Linked DNA regions of Neodiprion lecontei. The protein of the gene in region 2 interacts with the protein of the main gene of each other region in a pairwise test. Links are inferred from orthologs where the notes say so. Each region holds a gene or a part of one and is shown on either strand. Other genes may lie near its edges.

Region 1 (6,202 bases), on a different chromosome or scaffold from region 2:
TATACCTGCGATTCGCGGGTATGCTCGAAATATTTTATTATGGATTGACCCTGAGGTATTTGAATTGAATATCAACATACTAGATGGATCCGTATAACTACAGAAGCTACAAGTTTTCGTTCTGTAACGATCAGTGAATGACAGCCTAATTTACTTGTTAAGATTTGTAAATTTCTTTGAAATTCGCTATTCAATATTAACATCGTTATAAACATTATGTGTTGAAATGTACATAATTAACTTTTAAACTTCATTTCGATTTAACACAAGAATTTTAACGCATATGAGATGCCCCGATTGCAACCATTATTTCTAATACTATGTACAAAGTTATTCTACATATAGTTAATATTAACGTATAATATAGTCACACAGATAATGTTTGAGCGAAATAATTTGGTTTAGGTTAAAAAATTTTCATGATCTTCGTATGTGTGACAATTTTGAAATTGCTGGGATCGGGAGCAGTAGAAAGTATATTTGATTATAATTTTTGGCCTTTTTAGTGAAGACATACTAATATAAATACCTGATTATGCATTGTGATGGCATTAACATTTTGCGACATTTATACAGCATTGGGGGCTGTTAGGATAGTGATTTGAAATGGCAAATATCATATCGGACAATTATTATCTTCCTTGAAAAAAATATTTTACGTTTAACGACGTTCAACAATTTTACTGTTTTCTGAAATTCATTCGAAGAATCTGAAAATCTAGGACTGTTAATTGGAAATGTGAAAAAGTGGAGAAAGTGAAATAGTGAGATGAAGTATTGGGACTGCGCGCAATCGATTTCTCTCGAAAAAATGCGTCGATAGAGTGTATCAAAGAATTGATTCAAGTATTTTTCAAAATCGGCCAAATTTCGACTGAAACAAGCCTTTGCTTTTTTTTTTGCGATTTTCAAAGCTCGAAACTTTTCGTCTTAGAATCGTTTTGCAGAAATATTTTTCGACTAATTGAACCCTCAGGAATGCAGAAAAGACATCAAAACGAGCGTAGAACCAACAGCAGAGGAATTATGAACGATATTTTACGTTTTTCGGCTGTAACTTTTGAAACGTTGCTTGCAGCGTACTTCGTAGAACTGGTCTATAAGCTCTATAAGTAGCTGTTCGACATATAAGAAAGTAATCCAATTCATTCTCGTTATTCTAGAATCATAATACATGTAATGCATGGAAATGAATCAAGTGCTGATATATTTTTTATTATGGTTTATTGTTCATAAGAAAGCCCCTGGACACCCCGCAATATTTTTAGTATAAACTATACGCGGTAATAAACGTACGAAAAGACATCTTAATTATGCACGACTGCACGATTCGGGAATAATGAGAATGAATTAAATTATTTTCCTACCTCGAAAAACTATTCCCGTTTATTCGATCTTCTTCTCGCTCATTCATTTTCTCCTTTTGTTCACACTTCCAATCAACAATCCTAGATTTTTCAATTCTTAAGACAAAAACGCAACTGAGAACCACTGATTCAATTACGTAATTCAGACTCACGGCAATTCGCCGTTGCGTCGGTATTCATTTTCATGAACGTCATTCTGCCGCCGCAGTCGCGTCGATTTGACGCCCGTGTAAATTCAGCCTAATTCGTCACTGACAGTTATTGGTTATGAAGAACTTCCACTTACCAGCGGAGTCGGTAACTAGGTCGGTAATTCGTGAAACTGCTTTTACTCCCCTCAGGAAAAATAACCCAGGGCTAACTTCATGTGCATATTTTCAGTCATACATAGCTAACGTAGCTAGTTGTCAAGTGTCAGTGGTCGAGCATAGTCTGTGTTTTAGAGCTCTTCGTGAGTGAAACAACCGAAGAACGCGAGCATGGCAGAGGTTAGATTTTCGGTGCGTGCTTACAGCAAGATAGTTTTACACGCAGCGAAATATCCCCACTGTGCAGTAAACGGTTTGCTACTAGCGGAGCAGAAACCGAGGGATGCCTCCAGATCGAAAGAACTCTACATCGTCGATGTTGTGCCCCTTTTTCACCTCTGTCTCCATGTATCGCCGATGGCCGAAGTCGCCTTGACTATGGTTATTTTACCTACCTTCATTGTTATTTATCATTCACGTATCAGCTATTCGTATACCTGGCACAGGTCCGCGGTTACTTGACTCGCAATTAGAACTGCAAAGTTCATATTTGAATTCAGTATTTTTCACATAACAATGATGATCTTTTATAATTTCTAACTTGTAACATTGTTTCTTGGTTACTGCAGGTCGATCAAGTCGCTGCTCACCAAGGTCTGCTAATTGCTGGTTACTATTTGGCTAACGAGAATTTATTCGATTTGAGGTACGTATTGCCAGCTTTGAAAAGTCCATTGAAACTGGATATTTGATATGTCGCACCTGAAGTTCCAACCCATCAATCTTATCTGTAAAACTTGACCGATCACTAACAATAAGTTTCAATACTAAACTGATATGGGTCAATGTGATATTCAACCTGAAGTATGTTTCTTATTCATAGATAGCTTGCCAAGTTCCTTTTATACTGAAAAAAATTATCAGAGCTTAGTATTAGTGATAACTTCAGGTAATTCGACCTAAGAGAAATTATAAATCGAAAAACCAGTCAAAAAATAATGTCGACCACTATTTCTGAAGCCTCGTCGTGTGTTTCGATTGTCCTGATCGAACTGAAAAGAACAAGTCTTATATTTGTGTTCATCGCAACAATAAATGATGCTTTTTATATATTAAATGTTGGTGTGATTTTTTTAGCGTGGACAAGCCAGCTCACAGAATAGCTGACAAAATAGCGGAGAGCTATGCTTCTGCCTTATTAGTTGTGGTGAGTATGCAGGAAATTGGCAATTGTGACAATCTGACCCAATTTAGATATCCTTTGGTTCAGTTGTCATTTCTATTTCCTTGTAGAATATAAAATATTTTTGTGAATTCTATTATAAATTTTGACAATCGTCAGAAGATAAGATATTTCTTATTATTAAAGAAAACCAGTTTTGGTACGTATCATGAAAATTTTAAATGCGATATTACATGCCTAATAAGTTGTACAGCAGAAGGGAAAGACATTTTGAAAAGACTTTAAAAATTATAGGTCGACAACAGGAAAGTTACGCTTCGCATGGAAGAGAATCCTTTGAGAGTTTCACAAAATGTAGATGGAAAATGGAAACCTATAGAGAAAAATAAGTATGGAATATTTATTGTACCTGATAACTAAGCACCTTGGTAACGATCAGCAAGTAATAACAAAACTCGTTATTTTACTTATAGGATAAACTTAGATAAAGATGTTCTAGAAGGAGTTTCGACGATGTTGCAAGGGCAAGATTACCGTGATCTTGTCGACTTCGACAATCATCTCGACAACATATCCCTTGATTGGCAGAACAACGAATTAAACAAAATCATTGACGAAGCAATAGAGGCTGTTGGTTTAGGTTCTTAATTCACTTGTGCGAAATAGTGCCTCACGAAAATTCCACGGTACTGTTAATTCCCAAGAGGAAAAAGGGGAATAACTTGGAGAGTTGTTGCAAGCCTGGAAAACTGAGCAAAGTGAGGGAATTTTTCAATATACAAAAAAAAGTTTGGTGAATACGGCTGAAAATTTTTATCTGGATTCGGAATTCACGTCGATCATTGACATAATCATGAATAATGCAAGTGAATGTTTCAATTTGCATGTCAATTGGTAAATTCATTCGCGTTCTGATTTGTACGACAGTCATATTTTATCTAAATATCAACAAAACATGCAACAATTTGAATATTACTCGTTCCAGCTTTGTATTCTAGAACATAACGTTATCTCACATAGGTTCTGTAAAATGAATACGCAGTTCGCCACACATTCCGTATAAATGGTACTAAAATCGTATTCAAGAAATATTCTTACTTGGAAAACATATAAAAATGATAAATTTTTCAATGAAAAATTTGTAATAACCCTGAACTTTGCACAGAATCTTTGAGTACCATAATTTTACCAATGTTATGTTCAGTGAAAATAACCTAATTTAACAAAAAAAAATTCTATATTTGTCTGCACCTTTAAATCTTTTGTGTCCTATTCACAAAGTCTATAATAAAACATGCAGACCTCTAAAACCGACGTTCGAAAGACTATTTCAATGTTGCACGTCTATTCTTACACATAGGTGCATATTATGTGAGTAGGAGAAAAGACGAATTTTGATATGATTGTGAAAGAAATGTTTATTCGGTTTAAGCTTCTCACAAATGATTTTTTTGTTCATTCTACAAAATTTCAAGTTATTTGTAAGAAATTTTACAAAGTAGTTCGCTTGTATTATTTTATTTGTTTTTTTTTTTATTGTTGTTGTTATTATTATTATTATTATTTTTTGTTTTGTTTGTCAGATTTTTATCACTTTTCTTTTTTTAGCAGTATACGATACATAATTAAGCCATCGGTTATTTAGTCTACTCTTTTAACTTTATAGCTGTTCAGCTGTACACAAATTACCTACACCTATGTCCCTCGTCTCGCCTTTCTCACACTCATTCCTCGATTCTCCGACCTTTTTTTGTTTGGTGACATATTTCTGATTACTACGTGCCCTTGAAATTCATTTGAATCGCACACGAGTGACACAAACAGTAATAGAAATTTCAACTTTTCATTTATTCAGGTACAAAGTTCTTGAAATTTTATTTTACATCGGTATCTATGTACTCATTCACCATACAACAACACTCACCGGTTGTTTAAAACTGCGGATCGCGCCTCTACATCTCTCATTAAAAAAAAAAGAAAAAAAAAAAAATTATACTTATTATCTGTATGCTGTTTCGTAGATTTCAATTCTTTAGACTTTATCTGCTTGTAAGCACAGACTGGATATTTAATCATACCTTTCCTTAAAATACATTATTATGAGGTTGAAACAAATGATATTTACTTTTTCTTTGTGAAAAAATTATTTTTCCTTTTCACTGGAAATAAGAAAAAGAACTTCCTTGTTTCCTCGCTTTCGAGTGCACACCATGTGGTCAAATTTTGCATGAAAACGTACGAATATGTGAGCCAATAAACAGTTTTTCACATCACCTTATTTAATCTCGCGAAAACGAAAATAGGCAAGAATAATTCTCTGCACAATTTCTTTCCAGCTCTATTTTATGGGGTGCGATAGATACGTGCAATAATTTATCACAACCATTTGTTTTCTTGCCACTCAATGCGATCTACTCTAAAATCGCCGTAGTTAATAACCTCCGATAAATTAATAATTCACTTCATGGCTTGTAGTTTGTTTCTATTTCTTTAACTTAAGATATTATAAATCAAACTGCAACTAGCCTCGTGTTCTTTGATCACTTGCACTGTTTGATTATGTTTAGCTTAAACTCGTCGTCATTGCTGTGGTATATTATCCATATACTGTCGGTAATATTTGCGATTTTATTTTTATTTATTTTAATGTTTTGTTGAAAAATAGCACCCGTTAACATTAGTGTTATTCATCTATATATAATTTACGTATAATATGTATATTGTTATTTTTCATACCATAACGTTATATATATATATATATAACGTTATGTATATATATATTGTTGTATTTGTCGAAGAATTGTAATTTGGATAGTAATTTAATTTTTTTTTCTCACAATTTTTAAAAAATCTCGTCAAACTTAACAACACGATATGATCAAGCATATATGTATACATATATTATTACATATATTTACGCACCTACTTAGAAAAGTAGGATTTAAAAAACTTCTTTAAATTTATAACCTATTTAACATTTTTTTTGTTAGTGTCTTACTTACATTTATGTCTAGCTCTACACGTAAAAATAGTGGCATACTATTCACTAAGGCATCGATCAAGCTATCGCAGATTTTTCTGACGTCTCTATGAACTATACACAATGGTGCTATAGCTGCTTCGTGCGACATTAATATTATTTAATTTATTAACTGTTACATCGTCGTTATCATAAATATTAATTTTGAACCCTAAACTCTGTGCCTAACGTACAAATTATGTTTTCTGGCTGCAGGCTTCATTCTAAATATCTAATACTTTTTACTGCGTTTTTTCCCATGTTGTCTTGCACTTCTCATGCTTCGTTAATTCAATCGATTCTTATTCAACGGCAAATAAGCGTATATGCATAAGAAATATTCTTTGGATGATATCTGGCGAGTACAGAATTTTCATAAATTATC
Region 2 (5,658 bases):
TGTCTGGCGTTCAGACATGAGAGTCGATGCAATTATCACAGATCGTAGGTTCAATGCATCACATTATTATGATGGGCATACAATACAAGAGTTTAAAATCGATCGACATTGCGAATAGTAATGAATCCGAAAACTTCTTAGCAATTGAATTTCAGCTTTAAAATCATCTTAAATCTTGCACAGCTCCATATGGAATAAGAGAAGCAACGGAGCGTGTAGGTACCATAAAAAGACAGCCTGTAATCGACCAGCATCAAGTAGCTAGTCATATACCTTCTAAGATTGACTACGGGCTGCCTCAGATGTTCGTTGATCTGCTCTCATTTGCTGCGAATCATTTATGTATTAACGGCAGATTGGTATGCTGGTTTCCTTTGTTCAGGTAAGAACGTAAAAAATATGAGACTTATGATAAACTGACAACAGACTGCAGACATCAAATGGTTGAAATTTTCGATGACTATATATTTTTTTGATAATTCTGAAAAAAAAAAACAAGGTTCCATTTGCTACTAAGACCCTTTAAGCCGAGTCTGCTGTATTTCAAAATATGTTTTAATTTTATTTATTTTAATACAAACAATCCATAAACAACAAATGTTGCACATATTAATAATTTAAGTAATAAAAATAATGTGCTGTGTTGAATGTCATGTAATTGAACGTATACATGATCCTACAGGGAACACTATGCAGACGAGCAGCTTCCTTCACATCCATGTTTGCAATTAATTGCCAATTCGGAACAGATTCTGAGTACATATACAAGTCGCCGCTTGCTCACTTATAAGAAAATTCGAGATCCTCAGGTACATAGGAGCATCATGAATTTGCAAATTTGAACAGTTGGTAGAAAGATTTCATTTCGCTGTCTGAAATGAACCTTACAGAATCCTATATATTTTTGTTCTAAGCGTAAGATTGACAGTTTTTGTTCTTTGTAGGATGATGATCCAATTGATGATTCGAATGTATTAGACTTCCGTGTAAGATATTTCGGACATGGAGATGAAACAAGAAAAGAAAGAAGAATGAAGAGAGCAGAACAGAGGGCAAAGAATAAAGAGAATTGGGAAAAAAATATTAAGTCAAAAACTGCAAGATGACTAAATCTTTTTTATATGTAAAAGTGGTAAAAGTTTATTTAACAAACCTGCTTTTTACTTTATTTAAAACGCACTTTTACACGAATAAAAATATTTTTTTACCATTTATTATTTCTCAGCAAAGACATCATGCGAGTAGAAATTGCAAACGTGGTCTTTTTTCAAAATACCACAGTATTTTTAAAGGTGCTATTCGACTTCAATTCTCAAGGTCGCCTAAATGTTGTTCATGTACCGTCACATCAAAAGCTCTTCACGTATAGATCCCGTTTCAAAACATACGTAGACATCCATGGATGTCAAAAGCAAATCTATGAACTCATGTTTTGTCAGACCGACAGTAAATAATCGGTATTATTATTTATTTTTTCATTCAATAAATTTAATATTCATGATGAATAATATTAAATAACAATATAAACATATTCTTTTAGAAACCTTCACAAATAGGAAATACAACTACTGGAAAGATAATTTCTTACAACAGTGCCATACACGAAATACATCATATTTACGTACCATGTGGAGTTCAAATAAAATGCAAATAAGCAGTGTGTATACTTATGTATACTTAACTTGATAAATATGTATACTGTATGCATATGTGATATACTAGGAAGGTTTCATAGTTCCAATGGATCAATGTTTCAAACACATCAGTAGATAGCATCTCTCCGTACATCCATCAGCGTACCAAATACATATACATTCATATAATATATGTCTATGACTCTAATTGTAATTGCCCTAGTACATCTACAACATTTTTAACATCTTTTTCTGTCGCTTTTAATGCATACCTTTTCTGAATTTGAGTTGCAGCCCAATTGCCAAGCTTTATTGCATCCTTTTTCTTTGAAGCAGGACACTTTGCTGATAAAGCAATGTTGTTTGCCACCTATTTAAGTTAGCAGATAGTATTATTCTCAAATCGTCTACTATTTCCGACAAATTTTCTGCCCTAATATAATTTGCTTATATAGAGAACACTTCTGAAAACTTACCAATAATAGCCCATAAAGTGCTCGTACGTTGTTGGGATTCAACTTGATTGCTTGAGCGAAATAAGTTTTTGCCAATTCCATATTATCGAATCCACCCTAGATGATAAAATATTAGATTTGTTAAATTTATAGGACAGCAAAATTAGAGTACTTAATCTTTACTTGAAGTGAATATTTCATTTCTATTTAGGTAATACTACAGAAGAGATGCGTTCATTCACTAACCTGGGTATACTTAATTTCTGCATATCGCTGATAAATCAAATGACTATGAGGGTTGTGCAAAATTAATTCTTCCATGCAAAAAGCTGCTTTAGCATACTCTTGCTCTTGCAGGTATAAATCACACAATTCGTGCCATGCTTCTTGGTCACTCATGAACCTGTTTAGAGAATGTCAGTATTTTAATCAAATGAGTAACAGGTTTTACAACTAATTCCTGATGCGGATGACTAACTTTTTCAAATACTCGGTGAGTTCTTTTATAGCTTCAGTTATTCGACCTTGTGCCTTTAGAATTGCCAATCTTCTTTTTCTTGGTGCTGCGTTAGTTTCATCTCTTTTGATTATGGAGTCCAAAATCTTGAGGGCCTCATCGTATCTGCAAATGAACACATTATTTGTGCCAAGTAATTAGAGATCATAGAATATATATAATCATGGCAATTTTCAGTGCATCATTATAAAGTTAATGTAAAATGGTTATATGTAATACTTTTCCAAGGCTTCCATGTGCATTGCGTGATATTTCAGCACCCTCAGGCTGCCTGGAAATTCTTGCTCCAATAAATCAATACATTCTTTGGCAACTGATAAACGATTGCAATCCAAGGCAGCCACACACACTTGTTCTAAGACTAAATATTCTATAAAATAATAAATACCGCAATATGAAGGTCAATTTTCACGTAATATTTCATTTTAGGTAAGGGTTAGATGAATAAATATTTATTATGAGGATTTTTACTTTCGTTTCCTAATTTATGGATCTTCTCTATTAATATGGATTCCCATAGCTCAACCACATCTTCACTCTTGCGTTCAGAATCTTCTCGCCAAGTTCTGAACAAGTCTCGTACATCTGTGGATTTGATTTGAAAATTGATTAGCCGTATAAATTTTTACGTACGGTAAAGTACTGCGATGCAGTTGGCTATGCATGCACATATTTGCATTTAGTCTGATACTTGATTTTTCATCATATTTAGTATGAAACAAAAATTTGCAACTGTGATATTGTAGCGAGATATAGCTTTATGATTTTGTTTTTGAAATCTCAGGCTCGTACAACGTGTCCCCAATTAAATATTATACACGTTATGTAAAATACCTGTCTTAATACATATGATAATATATAAATATGTATTTAAATCTAGTTGATTATGTAATAGTTGGGTAATGAGGCAATATGTAGCATGAAATTCAGAAAAATGAATATTGATACATTAGCGTTACATATTGACTTACTTGACAAATAGAGGCATGTAAGCTCGAGTATCGAGCTGAGTTTAGGTTTGATTTTTCAATATGTGCATGTAAAGAGGACAATGTCATCGTCAATTTATCAACTTATTATAAAGACGTACCTGTCCAAGACATATTATCATAATTCCATGGCATTTTTTATCTACCGAACAGAAGACCAACAGCCAACAATACGAAAAATTATTCAGTCAATTGGTCAATAAAAGTTGATTACTTAAATCGAGGTTATACGACAGAGTTAGCAGAAAATTTACTCTGTCAAACTAACGCGATCACAAAAACTTGACTCACTCTTTACCGAATCTAGAAGGCTGCGCATTGCAATTCAAAAACAACATGTATATAATATACGTAATACGTACACATACCTATGTACGTATGTCATATGTATGCACCACTGAACACATATTTATCATTCGACGTGCAGGCCGTATCCGCATGATATAGATTAATTAATCTAGTTGTTTTATACCGCTAATAGAAGGTTTAACAATATTTTTCATCCGTTTGTACGTAGAGTTTGATTGTAAGCACGAGAGATTTTATAGTTTTCCTCGATGAATTACTGGATCCGCAATGTGGAGTAATGGATATTAGCGCGTGAAAGTACATTTAATGCACTAAAGAGTACATCGTCATGTGTAGAGTTTGGGGATGAAAACATTTTGCAAAATATTTAAAACTGTATTTGAGATTGTGGTATAAATTAAGTTATGAATCTTAAATATTAATATAGAATTTTTTGCTTCTAACTAGAAATATGATTTAAAAAATCGTAATCTCAAATAGTAACGAAATATGTGCGCATCCGTAGGTAGGATAGGTAAAATATTTAAATTTTTGCGAAACAGCTAAAAATACATATAACAAAGGTCGGGAGTAGAACAGGTGTTTGAATGTTTTGATACAGATGGCAGCGGATAGTAGTATCTGGGTGGCGCTCAGCTCGTGGAATAATTTCTTGTCGCTCTCATTCCTCGTTGGAATATTGCTCGTGCTGTTATCTGTTGTGTTTTTGGGCTGTAACTGTACGAAAAACATGTCCCTTTGATAATAAATGGTTGAAAAAAGCTCAAGGTGTAGACATGGAAAAATCGGTTCGTGTTTAACCGTGTAGTAATAGTGACGATTGGATGAAAGGCAGGTGTAATTTAACGGGTGGATGGTAGGCTCGTGAATTAATAGGATATCGATTTGCCCGCACAAGTGCTGTGCTGGCTGTAACGCACACGACCGAGCAACTAGGCAGCCATGGACGTCGATATTTTTGGGGCACAGTCCGTACGGACATTGAAATATGACCATTTAACATCGTCAAAGGCCTGATAAAAGGCAATATGTTGGTAATCAGGGTCGCGAGTATAGCGAAGTAGTATTAAATAAAGAATAACGCGAGGGCGAAACTCTCGTACAACGGTGGTTCGTAGCTAGTGTTGTGTTTGTGTGTATTAATCGTCCGGTGCATCGCGTTTCGTTCCTTGTTCCCTCGGTTCCTTGTCCGTGATAAAGTTCATCGTACGCGAATTGCAACGTGAAATATATATTGCTGAAAGGATATTGAAAAACGAAGAATTTAATCCAACGCAGTCTTTGTCAAAACCCATACAATGGAGCTTGGAAGTAGCATGAGTTCAGGGGCAGTCGCCTGTCCCGTTTGCACTTTGTATTTACGCGAAGGTATAAGCTTGCAAAAGCATTTGGATACTCACCCCAAGGAACAGGTAATCGAAGCTCTGATCAAGGCGAGCACGTCGCCAGCGCAGCAGCCTCAGTTGAACCTTTCTCAACCGGCACAAAATCCCATCCATTCACCACCGAATCCTGTGGCTTCTCAGTCGCCGTACCCTGTAGGGCCAGTATTTGAATGTCCTCCGGTAGCCCCGATGATGTCACCTCAATTTGCCTCCTTCAGTTATCAACAGTTTGTTAACAACGGGACAATGATGATACCACAGTACGCGATGGCGCCGCAAGCCAATCAGATGATGCAAATGCTGTACAATCCCTACGGTATGTATCAACAGCAACAGATACCAGCGGTTCAGATGATCGCTCCTATATCG

Evidence for each region.
Region 1: the proteins of ER membrane protein complex subunit 2-A (region 2) and ER membrane protein complex subunit 8/9 homolog interact in a two-hybrid assay, tested with the Caenorhabditis elegans proteins (3 studies listed by BioGRID). The link is inferred for Neodiprion lecontei from reciprocal best matches to the Caenorhabditis elegans genes emc-2 and F25H2.4.

The regions. Positions count from the first base shown.
Region 1 is NC_060261.1:27,859,857-27,866,058, forward strand, and holds ER membrane protein complex subunit 8/9 homolog, read left to right. Parts: upstream 1-1,663; 5' UTR 1,664-1,846; coding exon 1,847-2,056; intron 2,057-2,244; coding exon 2,245-2,321; intron 2,322-2,752; coding exon 2,753-2,822; intron 2,823-3,092; coding exon 3,093-3,187; intron 3,188-3,271; coding exon 3,272-3,446; 3' UTR 3,447-5,445; downstream 5,446-6,202.
Region 2 is NC_060260.1:5,298,551-5,304,208, forward strand, and holds ER membrane protein complex subunit 2-A, read right to left. Parts: upstream 3,878-5,658; 5' UTR 3,731-3,877; coding exon 3,697-3,730; intron 3,192-3,696; coding exon 3,078-3,191; intron 2,977-3,077; coding exon 2,826-2,976; intron 2,712-2,825; coding exon 2,568-2,711; intron 2,493-2,567; coding exon 2,336-2,492; intron 2,207-2,335; coding exon 2,111-2,206; intron 2,005-2,110; coding exon 1,831-2,004; 3' UTR 1,107-1,830; coding exon of another isoform or gene 945-1,106; 3' UTR 810-944; coding exon of another isoform or gene 683-809; 3' UTR 538-682; downstream 1-537. Other genes in the region: tRNA (guanine(10)-N2)-methyltransferase homolog, read left to right, coding at 1-44, 184-382, 683-809, 945-1,106; uncharacterized protein LOC107223771, read left to right, coding at 5,203-5,658.